Linked DNA regions of Lepisosteus oculatus. The protein of the gene in region 3 interacts with the protein of the main gene of each other region in a biochemical or structural test. Links are inferred from orthologs where the notes say so. Each region holds a gene or a part of one and is shown on either strand. Other genes may lie near its edges.

The links.
Region 1: the proteins of nuclear factor NF-kappa-B p105 subunit (region 3) and bcl3 form a complex in vitro, tested with the Homo sapiens proteins (2 studies listed by BioGRID). The link is inferred for Lepisosteus oculatus from reciprocal best matches to the Homo sapiens genes NFKB1 and BCL3.
Region 2: of the proteins of nuclear factor NF-kappa-B p105 subunit (region 3) and chuk, one has a biochemical effect on the other in vitro, tested with the Homo sapiens proteins (3 studies listed by BioGRID and IntAct). The link is inferred for Lepisosteus oculatus from reciprocal best matches to the Homo sapiens genes NFKB1 and CHUK.
Region 4: the proteins of nuclear factor NF-kappa-B p105 subunit (region 3) and dpf2 form a complex in vitro, tested with the Homo sapiens proteins (2 studies listed by BioGRID). The link is inferred for Lepisosteus oculatus from reciprocal best matches to the Homo sapiens genes NFKB1 and DPF2.

What each region holds. Positions count from the first base shown.
Region 1 is NC_090722.1:10,467,846-10,475,050, reverse strand, and holds the start of bcl3 (B-cell lymphoma 3 protein), read left to right. Parts: upstream 1-4,183; 5' UTR 4,184-5,220; coding exon 5,221-5,515; intron 5,516-7,205. UniProt on the Homo sapiens protein: Contributes to the regulation of transcriptional activation of NF-kappa-B target genes. In the cytoplasm, inhibits the nuclear translocation of the NF-kappa-B p50 subunit.
Region 2 is NC_090699.1:17,636,365-17,643,268, forward strand, and holds the start of chuk (inhibitor of nuclear factor kappa-B kinase subunit alpha), read right to left. Parts: upstream 3,016-6,904; 5' UTR 2,668-3,015; intron 1,599-2,667; exon of another isoform or gene 1,596-1,598; 5' UTR 1,593-1,595; coding exon 1,488-1,592; intron 761-1,487; coding exon 666-760; intron 1-665.
Region 3 is NC_090696.1:60,035,967-60,043,409, reverse strand, and holds the start of nuclear factor NF-kappa-B p105 subunit, read left to right. Parts: upstream 1-4,434; 5' UTR 4,435-4,506; intron 4,507-7,230; coding exon of another isoform or gene 7,231-7,407; intron 7,408-7,443. Other genes in the region: slc39a8 (metal cation symporter ZIP8), read right to left, coding at 154-303, 1,670-1,854, 3,189-3,396, 7,231-7,407.
Region 4 is NC_090713.1:19,938,922-19,946,326, reverse strand, and holds the start of dpf2 (zinc finger protein ubi-d4), read left to right. Parts: upstream 1-4,393; 5' UTR 4,394-4,454; coding exon 4,455-4,486; intron 4,487-4,811; exon of another isoform or gene 4,812-5,331; intron 5,332-7,405. Other genes in the region: kcnk7 (potassium channel, subfamily K, member 7), read right to left, coding at 823-1,159. UniProt on the Homo sapiens protein: Plays an active role in transcriptional regulation by binding modified histones H3 and H4. Is a negative regulator of myeloid differentiation of hematopoietic progenitor cells. Might also have a role in the development and maturation of lymphoid cells.

The DNA.
Region 1 (7,205 bases), on a different chromosome or scaffold from region 3:
GTGTGTGATTATGACTGGGGGATACTCTGTGATCTCCTCTCTCTCACTGTGTCTCCTGTCCTACTGTGTGTTTATTACTGAGGGATTCTCTGTGATCTCCTCTCTCTCTCACTGTGTCTCCTGTCCTACTGTGTGTGTTTATTACTGAGGGATTCTCTGTGATCTCCTCTCTCTCACTGTGTCTCCTGTCCTGCTGTGTGTTTATTACTGAGGGATTCTCTGTGATCTCCTCTCTCTCACTGTGTCTCCTGTCCTGCTGTGTGTTTATTACTGAGGGATTCTCTGTGATGTTGTAGTAACAGTGGCAGCACTAGCAGTAACAGCAGGAACAGTAAAAGCAACAATAGCAGTGGTAGCAGTAGCAGTAACACTGGCAGTGGCAGTAGTAACAGTAGTAGTAACAGTGGCAGTAGCAGTAACAGTAACATGAGCAGTGACAGTGGCAGTGGCAGTGACAGTGGCAGTGGTAGTACAGTGGCAGTAACAGTAGCAGTAGTAGTAACACTGCCAGTAGCAGTAGTAACAGTAGTAGTAACAGGAGCAGTAACAGTGGCAGTAGTAGAAGTAACAGTAGCAGCAGTAAAAGTAACTGTAGTAACTTAACACTAGTAGCAGTAGTAGTAACCACAGTGACAGTAGTAGTAACAGTAACACTGGCAGTGGCAGTGGTAGTACAGTGGCAGTAACAGTAGCAGCAGTAAAAGTAACACCAGCTGCAGTAGTAACAGTGGCAGTAACAGCAGCAGCAGTAGTAAGAACAGCAGCGATTGTCGTGTGACAGATTGTTTTAAATTCCCCGTCAGGTTCTGTGTCCCGGTTCTGCAGGACGGACGAAGTGGAGCAAAGCGACCGGAGACCCGCACGCACGCTGCAGTACCGGCGGCGGCTGGCAGGGCGAGCAGTGCTAGCAGCAGCAAAGAAGCAGAGGGACGCTCATCCTCTCGGACACAACTGGGGAAGATGAAGCAGGAGCAACAACAGTAAATGTGGTAGTAACTGCAGCCAATGTTAAGTAGTAATAAAAGCAGAAAGAGAAGAAGTAGTAGTAACAGTGACAGTATTTTTAATAAAAGCAGTAGTAGTAACAGCTACAGTGGCTGTAGTAGTAATAACAGCAGTTATACAAATAACAACAACAGAAGCAATACTAGATAATACTACAGTATTCTGAATACTACAGTGGCAGTTTTAGTAATAACAACAGTTCCATTAATAGTATCAGGGTTACACAATCATCTCTAATTGGCAGTGAAGGAGCTGAGTGACGCCTCTCTGTCTCCACCCCTGATCTCTAACTGAAGATCAGGACAGCTGCTCCTTCTCAACAGCTGATCTTTTAGGTCTCATTGTTTCATTCAGGGTTTCTAGGGACTTTATCTCAAACTGCAGTTTTTCCGTTGCTCTCTCTGTTTCTTTCTAAATAAATGCAGCTTGTGGAAAGTCCCAAAGTCACCCAGGTAACTAGAAACCTGAGAGAGACAGGGGGCTAATACTAGTACTACATAGCAATACTACACCTCTGGACACTCCCATACATTAACACTGCACTGAGAGAGAGGGGTTAATACAGACACACGGACTGGACACTCCAGTACATTAACACTGCACTGAGAGAGAGAGGGGTTAATACAGACACACTGACTGGACACTCCAGTACATTAACACTGCACTGAGAGAGAGGGGTTAATACAGACACACTGACTGGACACTCCAGTATATTAACACTGCACTGAGAGAGAGAGGGGTTAATACAGACACACGGACTGGACACTCCAGTACATTAACACTGCACTGAGAGAGAGAGGGGTTAATACAGACACACTGACTGGACACTCCAGTACATTAACACTGCACTGAGAGAGAGGGGTTAATACAGACACACTGACTGGACACTCCAGTACATTAACACTGCACAGAGAGAGAGAGGGGTTAATACAGACACACTGACTGGACACTCCAGTACATTAACACTGCACTGAGAGAGAGAGGGGTTCATACAGACACACTGACTGGACACTCCAGTACATTAACACTGCACTGAGAGAGAGGGGTTAATACAGACACACTGACTGGACACTCCAGTACATTAACACTGCACTGAGAGAGAGGGGTTGATACAGACACACTGACTGGACACTCCAGTACATTAACACTGCACTGAGAGAGAGAGGGGTTAATACAGACACACTGACTGGACACTCCAGTACATTAACACTGCACTGAGAGAGGGAGGGGTTCAGACAGACACCCTGACTGGACACTCCAGTACATTAACACTGCACTGAGAGAGGGAGGGGTTCAGACAGACACACTGACTGGACACTCCAGTACATTAACACTGCACTGAGAGAGGGAGGGGTTCAGACAGACACACTGACTGGACACTCCAGTACATTAACACTGCACTGAGAGAGGGAGGGGTTCAGACAGACTCACTGACTGGACACTACAGGGTATTAGGAGAGAAAGAAGGGGAGAGGAAGAGAGAGAGAGGAAGAGGAAGGCTTTTCCGGTTCATAGATGTATTTCAAAGTGGGGAGATTCTGAAAATACCAGCAGCAGCCACCCTGCCCCCTACCTTAACACACACAACAGACAGCACACAGCACACAGAGCACCACGCACACAACACCTGCGATGTACAGAGCAGCTCTCCGCAGGGCTCGTGGAACTGTGTGATCAGCACTCTGGAGCAAGTTTAGAAGCCTCGCAGTTGCACATTCACCCAGCCACCACTAGGGATCAGCATGAGTGTATGAAAAGCTGTGCTGCAGGACTTCCCTGCTTCGTGCAGGGCTCTGAGGGCACTGCTGTAGGAGAGACTGAGGACATCAGGGCACTGCTATAGGAGAGACTGAGGGCATCAGGGCACTGCTGTAGGAGAGACTGAGGGCATCAGGGCACTGCTGTAGGAGAGACTGAGGGCATCAGGACACTGCTGTAGGAGAGACTGAGGACATCAGGTCACTGCTGTAGGAGAGACTGAGGGCATCAGGGCACTGCTGCAGGAGAGACTGAGGGCATCAGGGCACTGCTGTAGGAGAGACTGAGGGCATCAGGGCACTGCTGCAGGAGAGACTGAGGGCATCAGGGCACTGCTGTAGGAGACACTGAGGGCATCAGGGCACTGCTGTAGGAGAGACTGAGGACACTGCTGTAGGAGAGACTGAGGGCATCAGGACACTGCTGTAGGAGAGACTGAGGGCATCAGGACACTGCTGTAGGAGAGACTGAGGGCATCAGGGCACTGCTGTAGGAGAGACTGAGGGCATCAGGACACTGCTGTAGGAGAGACTGAGGGCATCAGGGCACTGCTGTAGGAGAGACTGAGGGCATCAGGACACTGCTGTAGGAGAGACTGAGGGCATCAGGGCACTGCTGTAGGAGAGACTGAGGGCATCAGGGCACTGCTGCAGGAGAGACTGAGGACATCAGGACACTGCTGTAAGAGAGACTGAGGACACTGCTGTAGGAGAGACTGAGGGCATCAGGGCACTGCTGCAGGAGAGACTGGGGGCATCAGGACACTGCTGTAGGAGAGACTGGGGGCATCAGGGCACTGCTGCAGGAGAGACTGAGGGCATCAGGGCACTGCTGTAGGAGAGACTGAGGACATCAGGGCACTGCTGTAGGAGAGACTGGGGGCATCAGGGCACTGCTGCAGGAGAGACTAGGGGCATCAGGACACTGCTGTAGGAGAGACTGAGGGCATCAGGGCACTGCTGCAGGAGAGACTAGGGGCACTGCTGTAGGCTGTATAGACAAGTACCGATAATTCTCGATCAGATACTGAGATCACTGTGAATTTGGAGACTCTTTTGGTGTTGTAAGCCTGAGAACTCGCGGGAGCAGCTGGTGGCTCTCCAGGCCTCGACCTGTGAATCCCAGGTGATTTCCTCTCTCTTCGCCCCTCTGGGGCTCCAGGAATGGTTTCCAGGGTACGTCCCTCCTCTCCTCTCCAAGAACTTCCTCCACGGACACACACACACACTGGTCACAGGGTCACCCCACCCAGACCCTCTGTGTGTCTTACCCTGATCTCACTGGGCTTTACTGCACTGTACTGTGCCTTTACCCTGATCTGTGATTTACTGCACTGCACTGTGCTTTTACCCTGATCTCACTGTGATTTACTGCACTGTACTGTGCTTTTACCCTGATCTCACTGTGATTTACTGCACTGTACTGTGCTTTTACCCTGATCTCACTGCGATTTACTGCACTGTACTGCGCCTTTACCCCGCTCTCACTGTGATTTACCGCGCCGATCTCCTAGAAAAGCACGGAAAGTATCGAGTCCCAGGAGGTGTCTCGCTCAGGCACGGTGCCGAAGTTCACCCCGGGGCGGGCAGCTCGCGATCACCTGCGGCCCTTCGCCTTCCGGGCCCTCTCGACCGCTTCCCCGCCGGCCTGCTAGGAAGCTCGGGTCCGGAGTCTCATCGTGCGGGTTTTTTTTTCTTACAGCCACTATTACTGGAGAAACAGCACGAGAATTCGGGGGAAGTGAAGGGACCGGAAGCGCGAGCCGGCGCGGGGCGGCGCCGAAGGGGTTACAGCTCCGGGCTGAAGTTCTCAGCAGCCGGCGAGGGAAACCCCCGCTCGGTGCACTTCCTAGTTTGTGTGTCTGTGTGTTTCTGTGTGTGTGTGTGAGAGAGAGCGCTGTCGCTCAGCTGCGCCCGTGTCTCCGCGCACTCGCTCGCTGACAGCGCCGACGGCTGGCGAACCCGAGACCCGCTCCGCTCGGCACCGACTCCAGCCCCGGTCCCGGACCTCCGCCGCCGGCCTTTCCTCGGGAGTTTTTTCTGCCTCCACCCCCCCCCCCCGTCTCCCTCTCCCTCTCCCTCTCCCCGACTCTGCGCGCTGCAGGAGGACCGGAGAACCGATTCTGCTGGTTTGTGAGGAATCGGTGTCTTATTTTTGGCGATTGCTCCGCTGTGCACCAGCCTCACGCCTCCTCGGGATTCCTCTGCTCCGAGCCCACGGGATCACCCCCGGACCCCCGACCCCGCTGCTGCAGGAGCGCCCCCGACGAGGTTGGGGTTCGGGTCCGGGTCCGGGTCCAGTTCTGGGCGGGGGGGGGCAGCTCTCTGCTTGGCGTGCGTGGCTCCGGTTCTGTGGTTCCGAGCCGGGGTGCGATGTGCCTGAGGCGCCCCACAGCCTGAGAGTCCGTGGCGGCTCGGATCTGCACCCCAGCCCCGGCCCGAACCCGGGCTCTGCAGGATGGAGCGGGGCGGCGCCGGACCCCTGGACCTGAGCACCTCCGCGCGCAGGCGCCCCGCGGCAGAGGAGGGGGGGGCGTCCGCAGGACGGGGCTGTAACGGGCATCACGGCCCCCCGAGCCCCCCCAGGCCCGGCCCGGACACGCCGGCGTCCAAGCTGCCCTTCCGGAAGCGACCGTTCCCCTCGCAGGACAGCGCCCCCCCGCCGCCGCCGGGGGGCGCCGCCGAGCCGCTCGGACCCGGCCGCAGAGGAGCCCTGGACGGCCGAGCGCACTGCTGCGCCCTCCCAGCCTACTGTAAGAACAGCTGCCCTCGCCGCCGCGGGTCAGAACCAACACGGGCTCTGGGCTGAGTGAGCACTCCTGTCGGGACAGGGAGAGAGAGGGGGACAGGGAGAGAGAGGGGGAGAGGGACAGGGAGAGAGAGAGAGGGGGACAGGGAGAGAGAGGGGGACAGGGAGAGGAGGAGAGAGAGGGGGACAGGGAGAGAGAGGGGGACAGGGAGAGGAGGAGAGAGAGGGGGACAGGGAGAGGAGGAGAGAGAGGGGGACAGGGAGAGAGAGGGGGACAGGGAGAGGAGGAGAGAGAGGGGGACAGGGAGAGGAGGAGAGAGAGGGGGACAGGGAGAGAGAGGGAGAGAGAGGGGGACAGGGAGAGAGAGGGAGAGAGAGGGGGACAGGGAGAGAGAGGGAGAGAGAGGGGGACAGGGAGAGAGAGGGAGAGAGAGGGGGACAGGGAGAGAGAGGGAGAGAGAGGGGGACAGGGAGAGGAGGAGAGAGAGGGGGACAGGGAGAGAGAGAGAGGGGGACAGGGAGAGGAGGAGAGAGAGGGGGAGAGAGAGGGGGACAGGGAGAGGGAGAGAGAGAGAGGGAGAGAGAGAGGGGGAGAGAGAGGGGGACAGGGAGAGGGGGAGAAAGAGGGGGACAGGGAGAGAGGGAGAGGAGGAGAGAGGGGGACAGGGAGACTGACAGGGAGAGGGAGAGGAGGAGAGAGAGGGGAGAGGGGGACAGGGAGAGAGAGGGGAGAGAGGGGGACAGGGAGAGAGAGGGGAGAGAGGGGGACAGGGAGAGAGAGAGAGGGAGAGGAGGAGAGAGGGGGACAGGACAGGGAGAGGAGGAGAGAGAGGGACTGGGAGAGGAGACTGGAGAGAGGAGAGAGTTAGGGACAGGGAGAGGAGGGAGACAGAGGTGAACTCCCTACTGCACTGTGACAGGTATTCTGGGATTAGAGAAACATTCTTCCCTAAATTCAGAAATCTAATCCCAGAATTTCCACACCTGCCAGAATCACAACAGCTCCCGATCCTACTGGGAGTGGGAGGAGGGAACTCAGTTGAACTGGCAGCCCAGTGTGTGATCTCCTGTCCCAGCCTGAGGACCAGTGAGCCTCTCTCCCAGTAATGCTCCAGATGTTTACAGTATATGTAAGATTTAATCATATAGGAACAAGTAATAGGTTTATTCCCTGCTGAAAAGAGGAGAGAAAACACAGCGTTTCGACTGTGAAGCCTTCAACTCGACACCTGAAGAAGACTCTCCAGACGAAACGCTGTGTTTTCTCTCTTCTCTTGTCATGAGGAATAAACCTTTACTTGTTCCTTTGCAGACTACACATGCTGACGCAGCTCCCCACCTGAACTATTTTATGATGTCTTTGTTGTAAATGTCTGTAATATGTCTGTGGATGTTTTGGGGTTTTGTTTCACGTTCATTTTATTTTTATTTGCTTTGGCGACACTGATTTTAACTCATTGGGCATGCTAATAAAGCACCTTGAATTGAATTGAGAGAGGAGAGAGAGAGGGACAGGGAGGGAGGGAGAGGGGAAGACAGACAGAGGGACAGAGAGATCAATCGATCAGTCATAGTTTGTTGATCAAATGCACAACAGCACAGCCTGCAGCAGTAGTTGCTGGCAGTGAAATGTCCTGCTGAGACACAGCAGCTCAGCGCTGCGGGGCGCTCAGCTCTGAATTGACACAGGGACA
Region 2 (6,904 bases), on a different chromosome or scaffold from region 3:
GCAAGCGATTGAAAGGCAGAGTACACCCTTGAGGGGACGCAACTCCATCGCAGGCAGACGCAAACACAGACACACTCACACCAGGGACATTTTTCCCCAAAAGCCAAATAACCTTCAAGTATGTCCTTGGACTGTGGGAGGAAACCCATGTGAACACAGGGAGAACATTAATATAAATTCCACGCAGATAGCAACCTGGAAATTGAACCCGGGACCCTGGCTCAGCGAGGCCGCAGTGCTAACCAACTGTGCTGCCACCAGCTATGGAATCCCTGCCCCCACATGGCATGCATTTAACTGTGAGGCCGGAAAATTACGAACACATTAACCGGCAGAAAGATCACAAGTGTGATGCTGCAAATACTGAAACAAAGCTGAAAAAAGCATGCTAAATACTGTCCCTCAAAACCACATCCTTTAATGGTGCATGCAAATAAAAGGTACTGTTTGACACTATTAATCTACGTCCTAATGCAAACTTAAACAGGCCGTTCCCCTTTCTTGCAAGAAGCTGGGATATGCATAACATCGGAGCTAAACATTCTTTAGGGAAGTCACGGGAAAGCCACGCTTGCGACAGGATAATCAGAGGGAAGAAAAGAAGTGCTGAAAATGAAGGACAGCCATGAAGAGCTCTCCTGTCTTCCACAGAGTCTCAGACGTACTTCTTCATGATTTGTATTTCCCGGCACCATCTTTCTTTGTTCTTCTGAGTCAGCTCCAAGCGGCACGACTTGACAGCAATCTTCTCGGCTGTCTCCTTTTGAAAAGAAAAAAAGAACAGCAGACCGAGCGAAGTCACATTAAAAAAAGAAATACAATAAAACGTTATAACTTGTGTCAAGTAAAACCAAAAAAAAAAGACAAAACAGGAATAAATATCCCAAAATATCTACTTTGTTAATAACAAAGACAATCAGTCGCTGAGCCAGCGTGCTGATCACACGCCAAGCTTCAGGAACAGATGTGCACCCATCACCCAGCTGCAAATTAGAAACCTGGTGCTCTAGCTTACCAGAAGCTTCTCAGTTTTTCCCCAGAGGCGGGATATGAGGCACCAGTCAAGTGGAGAGCAAGCACCATGCAGACGGACAGTTTATCTCCACTGGTAGAGTACAGCTCAGCACCCCGGAGGATACAGCCCGCAGGCCGACAGAGGGAATCGCCATCACCCCCTGGGACTGGCGCCTGCATTTAGAAACTTCCTTTTTTGCAATGAAGTTGTTTATTGTCCCTCTGTATTGACACACAGCTACACTGTCGCTTTGGGGCGAATGCCTTTGTAAAAGCCCACGTTCAGCGTCCCGGAGCTGGGGAATATGGATGAGTGTCTTGAATTGTGAGGGCAAAGCTACAAAGCTTGAGGGACGCGTGCGAGCCCTTGGCGATCACCAGGTCCTTGATCATAGGCCACATAGCTCTCCAGCCACTGGCCTCTCTACCCCAAGCATTAGCGTTTCTAGAGCCGTCATCCCTGCTGCACTCACCAGATGCTGGTACAAATACACATGGCCGAATCCTCCCGTTCCCAGTTTCTCCTTCATCTCCCACAATCCGCACACCTGATTCTGCCTGAACGGCGGTTTCTCCATTCTCTGCTGTAAAAAGTTAATTTTCCTTAGATTATTTTTTTTAATGCGAGTGAGGTCCAATACACCAGACTGTGAGAACACTGAACAAAAATAATACACAAAGAAAATCATACAATGCTCAATCCAGAACATCTCAAAGCATCCCCTTTCTGTTGGAGCGAAATTTCAGACATTTCTCAAGCACTGAGCATCTGTCTGTGCTGTACATTGAGCTAAGAAATGGATTAAAAGCCCTTGTGTTCATGAATCGGGCCCAAAATAGCATCACTTTCGCAATGGTGCAGCTCATTTGTGGCCAGCACCAGGACAAGCTTGTACAGACTCTTTGTCATTTATCCCTGTTATTTTTGTACCTTGGATTGCACTGCTCAAGTATGCAGACTGTACTTATAGTTCCAATCTTACTGCACTTTGCTCTGACTATATTAACGCACTTGTTTTGACTGCACTTCTGCACGTAATGCACATTTGAAGGGTAGGTATTTTACAGCTGGGTGACGTAAAGTGCCATTGGATAACAGCAGCAGGGCCAGTAGCGCTTCTCCTGGGTGTCAACATTGCAGACCAGGGCCAGGTCCCGAACCGGGGCCCGTGCCGTCCTGGAAGCTCAGCTCGTGGATAAAGTGGAACACGGGAGCGCGGGACGCCGACGTCACGAAGCGCCGGGTCACGGGTTCACAAAAATGTTACCCCGACCTGCCACTGAAAAGCCCTGTGGAATCGACATGACCTTTAACCCAGCACGGTTCTCTCGAGACTTCAGACCGGCAACACGACGCTTTTCTGAGGGAAATGAAATCCGTAGTCTGGAGCGGAGGCTACTCGGAGTTGTTGCGTGTTTGTTTCTCCCGTGTCACAAACACGGAAAAGAACCGTTAACTAAAATACGTGAAGCCTTATATCCGCGTCTCGCTTGTTTTAAAGTGGCTGAAAAATAAACTTTGCCATATCCTCTCGCCGTCCTGAACTAAGAGCACCAGTTTCAAAACAGACCCGCCTGGGCCAGCTCGGCTCGGCCGGTCCAATGGCCACAGCCCCCGCGGTGGGGATTAGACTCCACACACGCCTCACTCACCTCTGTTATGTTCACACAATGAGACTTAGTCGGCAAGCAGCCTCCGGGCCAAGAGCTCTGACAGCGCGCAGTCACAGCGGCCCGCTCATGTCTCCCCTCGCAGCCGGATGCCAGACCCGAGGCCGCCGGCCTGCTGCATGTAAACAAGCCCGCTTCCCGTCCGTCAGCCGCTGTCGGTCTGCCCCATGCTCACGGGGGAACCGCTTTCTCGATACCGCGACAGGCGCTGAACAGGTTTAAACCCCCCCACCCCCCTTTTCTGCAATTTTGCCCCCTTTCCTCCCCGCTTCCCAGCAGTAATCTCTACCTCCCCTCCGCCCTTCAGATGCGGCGCTTTGGACTTTCCCAGAAGTGACGTCACCGCCGCCTCGGAGCAGCACGCGCTCCTGTACCTCCGGGTGCCCGCGCGCTGGTCTCGAGGTTGTCAGTTCCGATACCTGCGTGACGGTTTGGGCTCTGTATCCGACCAAAAACAAAACAGCGAATGGGAATATTCGCCATCCGTTACGCGTTTTCATGCAATTTTTAATTTTGAACGTAATTGCGAACCTTACACAATAATAAACACTGACTACTTTTTTTTAGTTAAGATCACTTTATTGGCCATATACAATTTCTTGCATTGGGAATTCGTCTTTTCACATACCCCAGCTAGCTCTCCATGAGACATAAACACACAGAAAGGGAGAGAAGCCTGGGGTCAGAGCGCAGGGTCAGCCATTGTACAGCGCCCCTGGAGCAGTTGGGGTTAAGGGTCTTGCTCAGGGGATTCCTCTGCCGGCCGCGGAATATGAAACGGCAACGTTCCGGCCACAAGCACAGATCCTAAGCCACAGTGCCACCACTCTGCCCTAACGTACTTCATACGAAGTCTGAATTTTGTATGTAATTCTTCTATAAAGCAATGTAAATTGTAAGTTTTATTGCCAGCAGCCATATCACCCCGCAACCCACTGAAGCTCAGCAGGTGTGAGCCTGGTCAGTACCTGGATGGGAGACCTCCTGGGAAAAAAGGTTGCTGCTGGAAGAGGTGTTAGTGGGGCCAGCAGAGGGCGCTCACCCTGTGGTCCACGTGGGTCCTAATGCCCCAGTATAGTGACGGGGACACTATACTGTAAACAGGCGCCGTTCTTCGGATGAGACGTAAAACCGAGGTTCTGACTCTCTGTGGTCATTAAAAATCCCAGGGCGTTTCTCGAAAAGAGTAGGGGTGTAACCCCGGTGTCCTGGCCAAATTTCCCATTGGCCTTTAACAATCATGGCCTCCTAATAATCCCCCTCTATGAACTATCACTCTGCTCTCCTCCCCACTGATAGCTGATATGTGATGAGTGTTCTGGTGTTCTATGGCTGTTTGCAAAAGGTGGGGCTTCATATTGGTGGTGGTGTAGGGGATCCCCATTACCTGTAAAGCGCTTTGAGTGGAGTGTCCAGAAGAGCACTATATAAGTGTAAGCAATTATTATTATTATTATTAATGTTCCTTTCACCAGAGAAACCCAAAGCATAAAAATAGAAAATAATGTAACACCTACATACAAAAGGGAAAAAAATAAATTTTGACTAGAAATACTTTTAAATTAACAGTTTTCAGCTGAGGTACAATAGAAGTCAAGGAGTCATGGTTTATTTAACTCAGTCCAATTGGCCCAACTAGCAAAGAGAGTCTGTAGATCTAGTGAGCATACGTACTAAGTATCTCTTGAAGATATACAGTACCTTAATCACCAAGAGCTTTATTTTTAATGTAGCCATTTTAAAATCAATTCTGTGATCCACAAGTGAAGAACTTTTACAATGCTAAAACATATTGTCTAGTAACATTTTGAGCAAGGCAAGGTTGAATAAACAGATGTATTAGCATCTCCTGGCTTAATGTACCTAGCTAGATTATTTTGGAAGAACAATGCAGTTTTAATACCAGGATTTGAAAACACACAAAAAAAACTATTTTCATTGGCATAAAATGCATGTTAGGGCTGTATTTTCTAATTTTAACTTCTGTATAAAGCTGTATAAAGATCCAACAGAATTTCTCAGTGAAACAGATACGTGTCAGTTTGAAAGGGGTAGGCACACCGGTCAAAATCGTTTCTAGACCAACCAATAAAGGTAGCTGGAGCTTTAACAGAGCCGTGTCCGTCGACTGTATCAAAGGGAACTGAGCTGATAGCGTTACCGAAACAAGACCTGAATGTTTTCCAGAACCTATTGCCTCAAGAATACCTTTTGCCCCAATAAGTGTGTCTCACAGTCGTGACTAAACAAAACCCAAAATGAAACCTCTATAACAAATTGTCACTGCTATGGTTACTGTACCGTGGTCATTTTAAGAAACCGAATTTTCTCTTACCTCTAGATGTCGCTATAGAAGTTACTTCGGGTTTACCTTAAGCACACGCCAACCTGAGAAAGCACGCAAACGTAATAGACGTTTCGTCCCAAGTTGCTCGTTTAGAGTAGCTAAGCGGTTCGATGATCCCTTACAGTCAGTTTATGACAGAGGCCAGGGTATCGGCTTCAAAGAGAATGGGTTGCTTGTTCCATTATATTAGGCTTTACAGCATAGTGGGAAGCTGTAGCGCGTCGTGCTTTTTATGTACTTTTGATTACAGTTCATGTTAATATTGCAACGAACGCTTTCCTTTCAGTCCTGGCGGCGGCGGCATTTAGGAAAGACAGGCTGGAGACGACTCACAGGCTCCCTGACAGTTTAATTGCCTTTTTCATTACAGCGTGGCCAGCTAGTCACGGAGGAGAGAGAGGCAGAGAGGAAGCAAACGTTATCTGGATTAACAGGGGAGTGGGAGAGGAGGGATTGCACATGGTTTTAATGAGGGAAAAGGCAGGAAATGTGAACCTGTGGTAAAGGCTGAGAGTTCGTGGGGACAGTCCAACAATGAAGTTAGAATTGGGAATCCTGGAGTTGGATTGACTGTCTTCCGAGCAGTGGGCAGCAGCAGGGATCTGGTCTGGAGAGGACAGGAGCACGCAGTGGCTGCTGGGATACAGCAACAAGGGAGGGCTTGCCTTCATCAGCTGGTCTGACTGTTGTGGTTCCAAGCGGGCTCTTGCCCTCGCCGTTCCACCCCGCTGGCTTGTCCCACAATGCCTGGGCGTGAACCCAGTGCCGGTGTCATCGCCCTCCCTACATGTAGCAGGGACCTCAGGCGCCTGAGTTGAGGGAGGTCTCCTTCAGCTCATTGGGCTGGTTCCCTTTTGCATTACGCCGGAGACCTCCCTCATCTCAGGCGCCTGAGGTCCCTGCTACATGTCGGGAGGGCGATGACACCGGCACTGGGACTATCGAGCTTCGGGTGGGCCTTCTTCCATAGAGGCAACTTTCTGTCGGAGCGCGCGTGGACACGGCGGCGCTGGCTTCTCCTGGCCTTCCCATCCGCCTGGCGACCAGCCAGCGTCCTCGGCTCACAGCCCTCACCTGGCCAGCAGAGGAATCACGGACTGTGACAAGAACAGGCATGACAACAGTACCCCGCGGCTCATGGTCTGGGGGGGGGGCTTCAGCTGATTCAGAGCAGCTGGGTTTTGGCACCCCTGCTGTGGTTTGCGGAGGGCACTTGCTTTGGCAGCAGGGTCCTGAGGCTCGTGGTGGGTGGGGTGGGGGGCCTGTCACCGGACAGACTCGCTAGGGTGGTGCTGGCTGGCGTCCTCTGTGGAGCCTTGGCAGAAAAGTCCCACAGCTCGTGGGGGTGGTGCTAAATGACCCCCTCTGTCTTCGATGGCAGGAGAGCGGTGCAAGAGCTCGACCTCCTCCGGGGCAGTGAGCGCAAGGGAGCCACCGTCAGCCTGCCAGCCCATCACTCCCCCAGCTCAGGCTGGACAGCGTTCGCGTTGCCGTGTTCCTGTGGCGGAGTATCCCACTCGTAACACCAATGCAAAGAACGCTCACTTCGGCGGCAGCAGCATTAGGAAGGACAGGGTGGAGATAACCTACAGGCTCACTGACAGTTTAATTGACCTTGTCATTACAGCAGAGGGGGGGTGCGTGTCACGGAGCAGGTCAAGCTAGGAAGACGGAGAGGAAGCAGGCATCCTCCTGACTCCAGAGGTGGGGAAAAGAGAGAGAACAGATTGTTTCCCAGCTTTGTAAAGGGAAACAGCAGGAAAGGATGAACTGCAGTGCCCTACCCACTGGGGCATCTGAATCCACACTGAACAAGCTCCAGTAGGTCCAGAATACGACAGCCAGAACTCTGACCAGGTCATGTGCAGGTGA
Region 3 (7,443 bases):
AAGTAATAAACCTAAGACCAAAGGTAAAATGAAAGTGCCTGGCCTAAAAATGGGGAAAACTTTTGTGACGTTACACAAGAGCTAAGCAAAGATTTAACATAACGGTTACGATGAAACAGGTGCTAGTCTGTTGTCTAAGACCAGCAGTGCATCCTATTCTAGTTTTATGTTTCCTGCAAACATTGTAATTAATAGAATGACAGAGAACCCTGTTAATAATCCAAGATTCTGAATGGTGAAAAATATGATCTTGCTCCTTGTGTTTCTTTCATGATCTCCCTGGATGTTATTCATCTCTAAGAACTGAAATAAGAGAACACTCAGGTAAGTAAAGGTTAGGACATAGAACTCCTCTGCTTTTGACTGCAGTCATTGTAATAAGATTTATATGCAACAGGTGGTATATAAATCTTGGCTGTATGAAATGCTTCATAATACATTCATTCTTTAATCTGTAAGGGCAGAAATTATTCTAAATGACAGTGGTTTACAGGACTTAGCATTCATTAAGAATTCAGAATTATTCAGGACTCTCAACTGCTTTAAAAAAAATTGGACTCTTTATTAGGCCATCCAGATGTCCCAGAATTTCCCTTACTACTACTGAATAGGCCATTTCATTCTCTCTCTTGTCTTTGAATTCTGCCTTGATTCTTATTTTCCCTGTTTGATGACAACCACAAGAAAGTATAAATAGGCTGTTCTTCTAAGGCAGCCCCAGTAGGTCCCAAGGTTGTTACTGGGCTATCAGGCCCTTATAAAAATGCAACCTTAGACTGAAATTCATTTGCATTTCTGCACTATGGAGGATTTCAGATTTTAAAGTGAAGTTAAAGCATACTGGAATTCCTCTCTCAATATCTGCCAGGGAAAAGGGACTTTGGTTTGCTCTAACTCAGCATAAAAGCAAAACAGCTGAATTGACTGCACTATAAACTTTGCAGTTTCTTTTTTCTGTACATAGCTTTTGAGTAATTGGAGCTCATCTTAAGCAAATCAATATGTAATAAAATTTATAGTCCCTCTTGCTACATTCCCTAATAATAAAAGAATGGAGATATGACTGTATTGCACTACAAGATTGGGTGAAATCTACTGTGCCTGTTCCCGTTGTTCATTTCATTTTCTACAGCCTACTCTGAATGAAGGAAACAATAATAAGACACAGTGTTAAGGTCAGCCACATAATCTGCAATTCAAGGAACAACTATATCTTACTTTATTATTCAAATTACAGCTATTGAGAGTGTATTTCCGTTATACAGTAGGTCATTTTTATTCATTAGTATAGGATTAACAGCTTGTCTTGCAGAATATATGAAATGTGTGACCCTTATATGAAATATGTGAAATTTACATGTGGATGTATGAAAATTTGAGAAAACTAGGCCCATAAAGAAAAATATACAGTAGGTAGTATGCCATTGGTTGCTTTACAGATATCCCTACTGTATCACAACTAAAAACAAAATAATCAAATCAGAATAGACTTACTTCCTAGCTGATAAAACTTTAGAGGTACTTACAAATGAGTACAGTGAGTTCTGTAAAAGTAGGACTAATTTATCAGGTAAGAAAACAGGAGGTGGTGATGTGCTTTGCTATACACTAAGAGGTAACCTTCACAGAACAAATGGAACAGTATTGTAACAAGAAACACATCACTCACCATGTCTGCCAGAGCGATGTACAAAAACATTCCGCCAGCAAATGCGAAGATGACATTGGGGGAAAAGTTGGTTCCAACAACAATCCCCAGGATGAGACCGATATAGCACGAGCAGGCTGACAGAAGATTAAAGAAAAGGGCTTGAGGAATACTCATGCCCGCACTCAAGAGGATCACAAAATCACCTGGATGAAAAAAAACACACATTTGAAACCATTTACTGAACCGGTGGCAATTTTATCCAAGCCTTTTATAATGCAAATAGACTCAAGACAGAGTAGAAGGTTTTTACTGACAAAGTAGGAGGTTTTCTCGGGCAACATTTAAGCTGAACTGATTCTGTATTAGCAATTAAAAAGACAAAAAACTAGGATGTATAGTTAAAAGCATAAGATTCAAATCAAGATATGTTAAAATTGCATGATACATTAGTAAGGCCTCATTTATATTTATAAGGGAAGTTTCTATGCTTACAGGCTGAAGGAACTTGACCTTTTTAGTGTTGAACAGACAATATTACAAGGGAATCCCATACAGTTACAATCTGATGTAAGTATTAAAGGTCAGCCCAGCATATGTATTCTGAATGAACTGTACAACATGAACCACACAGTCAAAATGAAAAACATATAGAAGTGCATTTAAAACAAAGAATGAGAACACTTCTTTACTCAAAGGGTTGTGGGGGTATGGAATAAGATACCCAGCCAACTCCCTGGCTTCTTTCAAAAAGTGGCTGGATGAGTTCCTTGGATCAATTTACTACGACCAAATGGACTAGATGGTCCAAAATGACCTTCTCTCATTTGTTACTATCCTCATGTTCTTATCCCATATAATTTTAAAGATACGAAATGAAATCTAGGTTTTGTTGGTGCTGTTTTGAAAATATATAGTATAGCGTTATGAATCAAAAATCAAGAAAACTTCTAAACCTCTTCATGTAATTTAAACACTATTTCGTTGGTCGACTTTAGAGAATAATCTTATAGTGGTGGAAAATATTGTTGCATTATTCTCATTTCTGTATGTTGGCGTGGGATATACTGTAGCGTATTCCGCACCTTTGCATGCTCACAGTAAATTTCTAGTTCCGTCAGCTTAATCCATTCATTTTTCTTCAGAATGAATTTTCAACTCTTAACCATTCAGAATCACTTTGTCATTAATAATGACTACATCTTTTAAGGCAAACCTGCCCCCTGCCACTTGACAAATATAGCTTCATTGAAGCTCCTCTTTTTGCAGTTTGCTCATGGCCATTAATTCTGGAAGCTGTGTGACAGAAGATCATGGAAGATAAACCTACTCTTTAGGATTGGTATGTATTTTTTTTATATTTATGGTAACATTGAAGAAGTGTACTGTAGGTTACCTACTCCTCAGTCAATACATTCCTACTGTGAGCACAAACATAAAGGTGACCTAAAGGTTTGCCAGAAGGAAGATCATACAACAATTTAGTCCAGATGATGCTATAATTCTGAACCAGTGCGGGAGATTAATAAATGGTACGTACCCAACTCATGAGGAAACTCTTCACACACAATAGCAATGGAGGTGCTCACACCATTGATCACAGACACTGTGAAGGAGGCGCCGATTGCCAGGCCATCGATGAAGTTGTGGAGCGCGTCACTCAGCGTGATCATCCAAGCAACTGTTTTTATGTTGCGAATTCTAGGTCCGCTCAACCAACGACAGTATCCCCGTGACACCTGTATATCCTACGAGAACAGAGAGAAATTAAATGCAATTTGAATTTAATCTGATTTTACCATTCTTTGGATGTTTTCCAACTATTGGATTGCAAAGAGAGTAGTGATACACCAAACTAAATAAGTCAATATCATTGTTTTCTTTGAAACAAGTTATTGAAGTAAAACTACTTTATTATGCAAAGTAGTAAATAATAGCAGAGTAATCAAATCTGAGGCAGACAGTATTTAAATAGATTGTTGGTAACTCAATTACATAGAATGAAAAAGTTGGGGAACAGTGCATAATATAGTATAACTATAAGTGTACATTATCAAAAAGAAGCTGTTACTTGATGAAAAAGTGCATTCCTTTTAAGCATACAAAATGAGATTTTGCCTTGATGCTCTTTTGATTCCAGTCTGCCTCTTTTCAGGCAATGTAATTCAGTCCAATGTAAACTGATTTGTTGCCAATTAAAGGTTTTAATTCATAGTAAGATAATGTTTGCAAAGGACTGGAGGTCTTTAGACCCACCTAGCTTTGTTGCAAAGATGATCAGCTAACTCTGTTTTGAAGTTTAAGAACTATTCCATTCAAACTCTGTGTGAGGATTTACACAGAGAGGATTGTAAGGCTTTGCTATTCCCTGGTCTGCAGTTTCTGACAGGTGTCTAAATTGTGTATTCTAATTGACTTGTCCACAGTAAAATATGTTCAAGAGGATTTTATTTAACCAACATTGTTACAGTATTTTTAAGGAATTCAGAGATTCTGCAAGGATGATCATCTCTGATGCTGGGTAAATATCAATGACAGTCTTTTATTCTTTTTTTTTAAAAGAGGAAATTGAAGAGAAATTTCAAGTCTTCAAGAAAGAGATACTCCAGGATAGTTTTGAAGTAGATGAAAGGGCAAGCTGCATTTAAATAATGCACATGTTGCAGCTATTTTTATCAAGCAAACCTTTGGGTCCATAACCACATCCTGGGCTTGCTTGTACTAACGTCTGTGAATACAGCATGTCAAGCAGCACAGGAGTGTTGTAGTGAGTCGAAAGGGACAAAAAAAATCCACAGGGCAATTTAATGTAAAACCACTGCTTTTTGTCTTTTTTTTCAATGATTTTCCAGAATTAGGTAAGTTCTAATTAAAGTCTTTTGGCTTGTATTGATATTTGCCGTCTAGGTTACATGTTAGGGGTTTTTAATACACAATAAAAATAAACCAGATTTCTGAGGATGCATGCAACACTGGTGTCAGAAGTTCAATAATGTCAAATATTTGTATATCAGGTTTGCACTGAGGACCAAAAGCTACTGTATGTATATCATTTTTGAAAATACAAATAAATTAAAGTGGGACAATTAGCGGTTGAGTTAGCGGTTTTGCTGACATTTGGGAGACAGGGTTGACAGCCTCTTTATATTTGAAGAAATATGATATTACTTTTCCTGGACTTGTTTATCATACCTGTTGTAGTAATTGATGATCTAATATCACTGTTACTGATTTTCATTATTCAGCAGGTTGTGCCTACTGGCCCAGTAGTACTGGTCTGTTTTATCTTGAAATCATTTTGCTTCAGCAAAAAATAATATCATATCGTACAGTAATACTGCTGTAGTTTTGAACCCTGTCCAACTAAAGAAACCTATCAAGCAATGAAATGAGGATGTTGTAAAATAATTTAGTCTCTATTGAAAAAAGTTCATTAGACTACAGGATGTGTGCAGATACGTGCATATGTTGCATGTTTTCAGCCAGCAAAAAGCAATATAATTGTTGGCAATGTTTCAAAACTAAGAGGCTATTTGCATATTACCTTTCACAGGTGATATTACACTGTAAACAACAGAATTTTACCTAAATTAAAGCACACTGTTGTATTTTACAAGTCTAACAAAGCAATAAACCCTGCATGAATGCCAATATTTTGGATATTGCACATCTTTTTCTCTGAAAAACAACAAATCCAGTATAGTTGCCTGTAGCAACTCTATCTGAAGAAATGTGGTTACATTTGAAATTATAATTCAAAGGCTTTAATACAATCAGTATTACAATAACAATTAAGTATAAAAACTTAACATAAATTCTTCTTCCTTATGCCAACAAAAATAGAAGTGCACATCTGCACATGATGTTATACCCAAATGACCAAGTAAACTGCAAAGTATGCAGGTTTCGTGAAGAGACCATAGCGCTATCCTTGCATTGCAATCTACCAGTAGTGATAATACAGTGAGGAAAAAAACATTTTAAAATTAAGAAGTGCCACATGTAATATTTTGTGTGTTAAATGTCTAAAATGACACATGCAATCACTTACCTATCTTTAACCTGCAAGAGGTCACTTGTGTTTGTTACTTTGGTCAGATCCAAGGTCAGCATATAGCATGTGATTTAAAATGCTGTTAACCATTAACATTATTTTCCCTAATTACATTATTTTAAGTGATAAATGATTTGGACCTCACTGCACCTAAATGAGGCAATGCCTGTATTACATACAGTAGAACTAAAACTTGTTTACTTGAATTGCAAGTGACCTAAGAAAATAATTTAAACAAGGTTCAGTTATTCTTGTTGTACAATGCCACTATATAGGTGGTACTGTCTAAAAACAACACCAAGCTGTTTTTCTTCTGGGGCTTATATCTAAACCTAGGAGCTTAGTTCATTTATAGTTATTATTCTACCTTTGTTTTAAGATGTTTTCTTTCCTAATTAAGGTGATGGATCATCTTTTTTTTTTGCCATTAACTTGATTTCATGTAATGTGACTTCTGCCAAGAAACTATTCGAATGAGTTATACACGTTATGCACGCATAGACTAACTGGTAAAAACATTATAGCAGAAGGTAGCTTGATTGCTGGGAGCCGCTGATATCAATACTAAGTAACAGTCACAAATATTTGTCTGAAATGTAAAAATATGCTCCTGAAATGTACAGTAAATTTGTTATTTTGTCCAGCCTGCCTGGTTTACTACAAGGATTACTGACTGGTTTACTACCTTCTCTACATCACATATGTAACATATCTCAGGTGTTGCAAATAATAAATAGTGTAAAAAATACATTTAACAGTGAGGACGCCCCAAATGCTTGGTGAAAAGGACTCAATGCTCTAAGGAAAACATGGACAGCTACACATGGGCAAAGTTAGATGATCATTTTAATTACAAAATTAATGTCAATTCTGAATATTTGTATGGAGAAGGGATGGTTGATGTGATGTTTTTTCTTTTATACTTGCTAAGTCAGAGAAACCTCTATACAGACTGTGGAAATATATCTTGTTTTCAGTGCTTTCTTGTCATAATTGAGCCTTTGAATAACAACAGATTAAACCATCATGGGAAAACAGAAGTGTTGGTGAAAGAATAATTATCTGTACAAATAAATATGCTTTATTTATTTGTAACACATATATTGATAAATATACTTGGACTTGGGTTCCAAATTGATCTGGGAAAATTTTTGTAGGCAGCAGTACAAACCTACCTAGAATATCTGTTACATAACAGAAACCCTGTGTGATCTTGAAAATATTTCCCACAATCAACTGTACAGTAGGCGATCAAATCATTAGCCATTGTGGAAATAATGGTGCATATTTTGCTTTTTGAGATCAATGAAGGCACCATGATTGATGTTTTTTTTCTTAATGGTATGCGGGGCTGATGTACCTGGAAATTCAGTTGAGACACCACACTTGTAATGAAGCTTTCCACGTAATCAGAACAGTAAAATAAGCTTCCGTACCTTCCACATAAACTACTCAGCTCCGAAATAGAGACTATTACAAATGCAGGGTTTAAAAGCAAGAAAAACAACAAAATCCAAGGTGTTCCTACCTGATCTGTCTGTGCAGCTGTGCCAATGCTTGGTTCCTCGCTACAGCTGAAACTGGTGACGGTGATGATTTCAGTTTTGTGGGTTAATTCTCCATTTGTGACAGAATTTGTGCCCATCTTGTTTGCATTGGACTGATTTGATTCTTCCTCTGATGTATTGAAATGACTGTGGCCTTGCTAAATTAAGCAAAGCAAAAGAGCAGACAGCCTTTT
Region 4 (7,405 bases), on a different chromosome or scaffold from region 3:
CCCCCCCCCCCCCCCGCCGCCATCTTGACTGGAGCCATCCCCTCCAGCTGCGGCTTGGGAGGAGCCAGGGTACCGGCTTCCACCGCATGGCTAAGCGGCTTGTTCCACACCCCCGCCACCCTTTGTGTAAAGCAGGGTCTCCCCTCTCCTGATTGCAGGATCTCCTCCGAAACCCCCAAATCGCCCGTTTTCGTGAAAGATCAGGCGCGCTGGCCAATCGAGTTGGCAATTAAGCAAGAAGAAATGTTCAGATTCCACCCCCCCATCGGCATCACATAATGAGCCACCTGTCCGATTAATCATGGTAACTGCAAATGGCTCAAGATCTTTACAAATGGGGATCCCCAAGTTCTAAAACACCAGTTTTACTAGAGTACCAGAGCGCCTCGTTCTTATTTAAACCTCCACCTGTTTGAGACCAGACAGAACATCTAAGCTGCTGTACGGTCCATCCCTCCTGTCCTTTACAGGATAATTTGGGGGGGTTCCCACAGGGGACCCCCCCACATCTCCTGGTTTTCCTTCCCAGCTGAGCCCTCTCATTCCCACCCCCCAATCCCTCACGGAGCCGGTCCAATCGGAACCTTCTGCACATGTAGGGCGGTTTTTTTTTTTATCAGCTCCGAACTTGAAGATCTTGAGCGGTGCGACATTGAACCCCGCCAAGGCACCCAGGTGCCGTAAAGCGGTAACCTCCCCCAAAACCCACAGCGCGACAGCGTCGTAAAAGCCCAAACGGACGCTGGGCGCGACATAACAGACGCCACAAGGCCGAAGTCAAAACTGTAACCCTCCCACCACCACCACCACCTTCCCACCTACCCGTCGTCGTGAGAAACGCGGTCACGAAGAAGAGGGACGAGGTGAAGTCGGAGTTGCACTCCTCGCTTCTGTCGTCCAGCGCCGACACGCCGTGCTGGCCGGCCGAGACGACCTCCTCCAGCAGGGCATCCAGCGGGGCCTCCCGCAGGCAGCGGTGATCGTCTAGGAAGGCGGCCCGCACCTCCCGCAGTTCCCGGCGCAGGGCCACCTCGCCGGCCTGCTCCAGAGCCGCGAACACGGCCCCGCCCAGCAGGACGTACAGCACGTAGCCCAGCGCCAGCAGCCCGAACGCCCGCTCCCGGCACGACCTCCGGACCGACTCCCAGCCGGCCGCCATTCCGAAAGACCGGGGGCTCGGGACGGCGCTACATTAGTCCAACCGGGCGCTGAAATTGCATTGCGTCTTCTCCGACGCCAAACCCCCCGATAACCTCTGCGCTGCTGGCCTGAAATCCTATACCTTCCTTTCCTGTTGTTAAAAGTTTAATGCCCGAGCGCGTATAACGTTTCCCCTAGCTAGGCTTCAATTTCAGACCCTCAATCCTGCTTGTACGGACACAGGGAACGTCTTTCACGGCTATTAACGCCCAAATTGGCTCAGTGTCCTAGCCAGCACCTTCGCCTGTCTCATTTATCTTGTATCCACGAATCCAGGAACCCTCTCGCCCCACCCCACGCACTTAATAGGCACACTTGATTGCTTAACAAGCACAGTTCAAACAAGAGTACATAGAACGATTCAAGACACAAAGATCGTCAGGGGGGAGGGTACATATTACTCCATAAATTCAAGTTATTTGAAAAACAAATTGAAAATAACGTCCGCACCGCTTTCAGATTTTTGCACTTCAAAATAGTCTGCAAATACCCTCTCACTTCCATTGTAAAACGCTCAACCACAGGGTTCTTCCCAGACCACTTCATTGTATGGATGTAATAACGTGCCGTTCTAATAATTAAATGGATCACAAACGCAATTTTAAGATTGTTTTCGATGGGGCCGAACGTGAACATCTTTTTCATCACAACAAACATCGAGATTGGTCTCTTTTTTTTAAATATAATTCTGCAACTTAGTCCAGAAAATGTGTACCCTGGGACAAACAAGAGCTGAATAGTTTCAGGGCTGTTGTCACACACACACAAAAAAAAAACCACATTTGTCATCTAGATTAATTTGAAATCAATGGGTAACAAGAATCTTAACTGGGTGAATTATTTTGTATGAAACGCGACCACTTTTTCCTCAATAACCCCCCCTAACTCTACGGCTCCTCTTTCAAACCTAAATAAAATATTTTTTTTTTCACTCTGACTCGACGGGGTCTTATCGTAGCTTTTGGAAACGGCATCTCAGAACGAGTCGCGCAAGGTGCTCACGTCCTGTGGTCCATCTGGGAACCGGATACGGACACGCAGATCCGTTTACCTGCACACACAACCCCCGGACAAGTCTTCATTTTGACCCCCCTGATACGGCACGTTTAAAGAACCCGGTACTGGGGCAAAATCACACAGCGTACGAAGTCAAACCTCAGGTTTGAAAAGAATCTCACCCCCCCCATCTTCCACGCAAAGGAGTGTCTCTCCTTTCGCTGTGTGATTGAATTCTGCAGGGCTGTGGTGATAGTTTAACACGCCTTTCTCACCCCCACGCACGTCTGAGTAATATTTAACGCAACGTACAGGACCGACAGAAATGGTGTGCAAATATAGCTTGGACTGTGGCTCCCTCTAGCGGCTGAGCGGAGAGCCTAGTCAAGACCCTTGTCGTGCAGCGATTTCAAGTTAATATTAATAATTGCTTACACTTATATAGCGCTTTTCTGGACACTCTACTTAAAGCACTTTCCAGGTCATGGGGAGCCCCTCCACCCCCAGCAGTGTGTACCCCCACCTGGATGAGGCGCCAGTCCTCTCCCCACACCCCAGCTCTCAGTGGGGAGGAGAGCAGAGTGATGGAGCCAGTTCAGAGAGGGGGGTTATTAGGAGGCCATGATGGGTAAAGGCCAGGGGGGGAATTTGGCCAGGACTCCGGGGTAACACCCCTACTCTTCTCGAGAAACACCCTGGGGTTTTTAATGACCACAGAGAGTCAGGACCTCTGTTTGACGTCTCATCCAAAGGGCAGCGCACTATACTGGGGCATTAGTGAGCGCCCCCTGCTGGCCCCACTAACACCTCTTCCAGCAGCAGCCTCAGCTTTTCCCAGGAGTCTCCCCTCCAGGTCCTGGCCAGGCTCCCACCTGCTGAGTCTCCAGTGGGGCTGCCAGTGGGGAGCTGCAGGGCGATATGGCTGCTGGCCATTCCAAAATTAATATAGATGATAACTGTGTTCTTTTGTATTTTTTTTTCTTTTGTTTGTGATTTCTGTCTCTTGTACCTGTTTCTGATCCTCTGGTTGTAGTTGTATTTGTAAAATTCTTTATATGTTCAATAATTAAAAAAAAAGGTTTTAAAAAATGTTCTTTTGTGAAAGTAGCCCAACATTTATTTTTGGTTATGTCCTCTGGTAAAAACATTCTAGATTGATCTGCAAACGTATTTTGAAAAAAAAAGAGGCCAATATTGCTAGCATTTGGACAGACATAGATGTAATGTTAAATTTCAATTCCATTGCAAATAATACCAACAAAATCGATTGTGATTGACTTATTATACTGGCACGTTATTATATACACTTATATGCATAATGCAAGAAATTTTATATGGCCAGTAAAGTGATCTTTATCTTATCTTGTCAGCAGCCATATCACCCTGCAACTCACAACTGGCAGCCCCACTGGAGACTCAGCAGGTGGGAGCCTGGCCAGTACCTGGAGGGGAGACTCCTGGGAAAAACTAAGGTTGCTGCTGGAAGAGGTGTTAGTGGGGCCAGCAGGGGGCGCTCACCCTGCGGTCTGTGTGGGTCCTGATGCCCCAGTATAGTGACGGGGGACACTAGACTGTAAACAGGCGCCGTCCTTCGGGTGAGACGTCAAACCGAGGTCCTGACTCTCTGTGGTCATTAAAAACCCCAGGGTGTTTCTCGAGAAGAGTAGGGGTGTTACCCCGATGTCCTGGCCAAATTTCCCCCCTGGCCTTGACCCATCATGGCCTCCTAATAACCCCCTCTCTGAACTGGCTCCATCACTCTGCTCTCCTCCCCACTGAGAGCTGGGGTGTGGGGAGCGGACTGGCGCCTCACCCAGGTGGGGGTACACACTGGTGGTGGTGGAGGGGATCCCCATGACCTGTAAAGCGCTTTGAGTGGAGTGTCCAGAAAAGCGCTATAGAAGTGTAAGCAATTATTATTATTATTATTCTCAGCACACTTCTTAAAAAGTGAAGGTTAGTAAGTATGCTAGTTCGCTAACGTCACGAAGACGAAAAAGGCAGAAAAAACGACGAAACAGAAGAAGTGTAGTTGTATTAGTAAAATCTTTATACGTTTAATAAAAAAAATTTAAAAAGACGAAACGCAAGAAGCCGCTTTAGGCGGAACTCTGTGAGAGGCGCGCGCGCGCCGGCTGCTTCCGGCGCGGCCGCGTTCGGCCCCCCCCCGGCCACACGCGCGAGCTCGACGTGACCTCGGCGCGTCGTCTTCTGCGCAGGCGCGCGCTGCCGTCGTCCGAGACGGGAGGCGAACCAAGATGGCGGCCGTCGTGGAGAATGTAGTCAAACTGTGAGTGTTGTTGTTGTTGTTTTTTTTTCTCTCTCCCTCCCCTTCTCTCGCCTTCCAGCGCGTTCGCCGGAGCTGAGCGGGCGGGTGGCGAAGGGCTCGGGGTTCGGAGGAGAGAGGGGGCAGGGAGCTGGGAGAGAGGGGTTCAAGGGAGGGAGAAGCGACGTTGTGTGCAAGCCGGGCGGGCGAGAAGCCACGACGTCTCTCCGGTCGCGGCAGCCGAGGGCGCCGGGCGTGAGAGCGGACAACTGATTCATTGTTCGGCCGCCGCTCAAAACTTTTCTCCCGGCGGCAGCGCAACACTGGGGGGGGGGGGGGAGTTTTCACCTCTTATCAAGGGGGGTTTTCAGGGCAGCTACACAGAGCCCTGGGAGGTGGTTTCTGGTAGTTTTGGTCGCCGAATTGCCGGTCCGAGCCTGGATCCCCGTTGGTGCCGGGTCTCTGGTGCTGTATGAGCTCTCTCGTCCCGATCCAGCCGATCGATGGGACCGAGAGGCGCCGGTGCCTGCGGTTTTGTCCCAGCCGGTGTTGGCTGCGCCGTCCTCTTGTTGTATGTGTGTGTTTGTAACTCGATGCTCCGCGATCGTGATTCATCAACACGCTGTGTGTGTAAGAGAAGGGCTCCCACGGTTGGCTTTGCACCCCCCTCCCTCGCCCGGCGTGTAGCTTTGTTCCTCTGTACGATCTCCCAGCCGGTCGGCCAGATCCCTGCTCTCGATCCGCTCTTCAGAGAGCGGATCGCCCCGGCAGGGCCTGACGTTGGGCAGCGCAAGTAAATGTTGACAAAGTTCAAAGAGCCGGTTCAAAACTCGGCTACAACCAAGTCTCTCTCCCGCCGCACACTGCGGGTAGGTAAAACACGTGTTTTGAAGACGTTTTGTGGACACCCGGGCAGCGAAATTGCGGTCTGGGTGGTGGTGGGGGGAGTTTACAATTCGTGCAGATTCAAAATCGCAACATCTGTCATCTGGTCCTTTGTTATTTTTTTTTTAGAAAAACTCCATCCCTCCCGATTCACGTAGTAAAAAGCTCTCATCCTGGAAGAGAAGACGCCTGTAGCTCTTTCTACTGCAGGATAAGCTCCCGATCTCCAGCAGGCAGCTTTTCAATGTTGATCTTGAAGCGCATTGCAGCGCGATGTTGTTATTGAGTCGTGCTGCCTCGTATAATAACGCCTCTTTGTTTTAATATTGCTCTTCCGGGTGTCATCGGGTTTATTTCGCTTAAATGGGTTTGCAGATCGATGATACCTTCGCCCTGCGCTGTTGTGCCCCCCTGCCTGCCGGTGTAATTAACGATGGGATATCATTAACGGAGTTTCGTGAAGGTCGCCCGAGTTATCGCATGACGTCACTCGCACGATCTCGATCAGATCACTTTTTCAGCCCTATACAATGTCTTGCATTAGGAATGTGTCTTTTCTCAGACCCCAGCTTGCTCTCCAGGAGACACACAGACAGGGAGAGAGAAGCTGGGGGGTCAGAGCGCAGGGTCAGCCCCCCTGGAGCAGCTGGGGGTGAAGGGCCTTGCTCAGGGGCCCCAACGGAGTAGGATCCCTCTGCCGGCTGTGGGATTTGAACCTGCAACCTCCCAGCCACAGAGCCCCCACTCTGCCAATGGCACCACCTCTCTCTGTTTAGTCAAAGCTGTGGACTATCAACTCCTGTGTTTTGCTGTGTGCCAAATACACCGTGGGCAAATGAATATTTATCAGTCGAACTGATGTTGTCACTTAAACAGAAGCCTTCTGCCAGCACTTCGTATCTCGAATGCGTATGGATCTGAAGTCGTCCGCTGAATTTGGTTTTCATTTCAATCTGTTTTTATATAGCGCCTTTCCCAGCGATGGAAGATGCTTTGAGTTTCGAAACCGCAAGAGCGTTCGGCTCTGCTAACCCTCGGTTGTTTTCTTCTCCATGGGAGCCCCACGCCGCACGTTGAGGTGTTGCAACTGGAAACGTCACCTTTCTCGGAATTGGAATTGGGGAGGGGGTGGTTCCCTTCGGCTGTCCCGCTGCGGACTTCAGAGAAGAGCTGGTGGAGGGTGTGGGTGATACTCTTGTGAAACGCGGATTTCAAAATGGGACACCCTGAGCCCCGAGCAGGGCCGGGCGTCTGAAGGCCACAAGGGCTTTCGAGAAGGAAGACTTGTGTCATCTCCTTCCGTTAGTCATCGTGTGTGTGGGTGGGTGTGTGTGTGTGTGTACAGGACAGGAGTGCACGAGACCTGGTCAGGATTCTGGCTTAGAAATAGAAATGCGAATTTCTGTGTCATCTACAGTCTTTGGTTTAATACTGCACGCATTCAGTTGTCTTAAGCTGTGGCGATTTGCCTGAAACGGTTGTGTTTGAAAGCAGCTGTCTACCTAACAGATCTCGGACGCGCGCACGTCCTCTCCCGCGATTAAAATCTTATCCCCGTGTGACGGGAACACAAAAGTGGACCTTTGACCAAAAACAGGTTTATTTTCTTCCAGCATCGAGGAATGATAATATAGTTCGAAGGCCTTTAATACTTGACAGAAGCGTCCCGGGCTGCCAGAATTTGGCATGCCGGGAGAAATAATTTAAGTATTTTATGGCTGAAGTCACACCCCTGGTCTCTTTCAAGAAACAGCTGGGTGAGGTCTTGGCATCAACTAACTCTTAACTACGAACCGGACCAGAAGGGCCGACTGGATCTGCTCGATTCTGAAGCGTCCCAGTTCTCTCTCTCTCTCTCTCTCTCTCTCTCTCTCTCTCTCTCTCTCTCACTTTTCAAACGTTTGATGCTGACCGACGTCCTCGAAAATGGAAACCAATCTTACTGTCCCGCCATCTTCTCATTCAGGGCTGTGGGGGAGCAGGAGTCTATCCCAGCAAGCAGTAGACGCAAGGCAGGGTACGCCCTGGAAGGGACGCCAGTCCATCACAGGGCACACA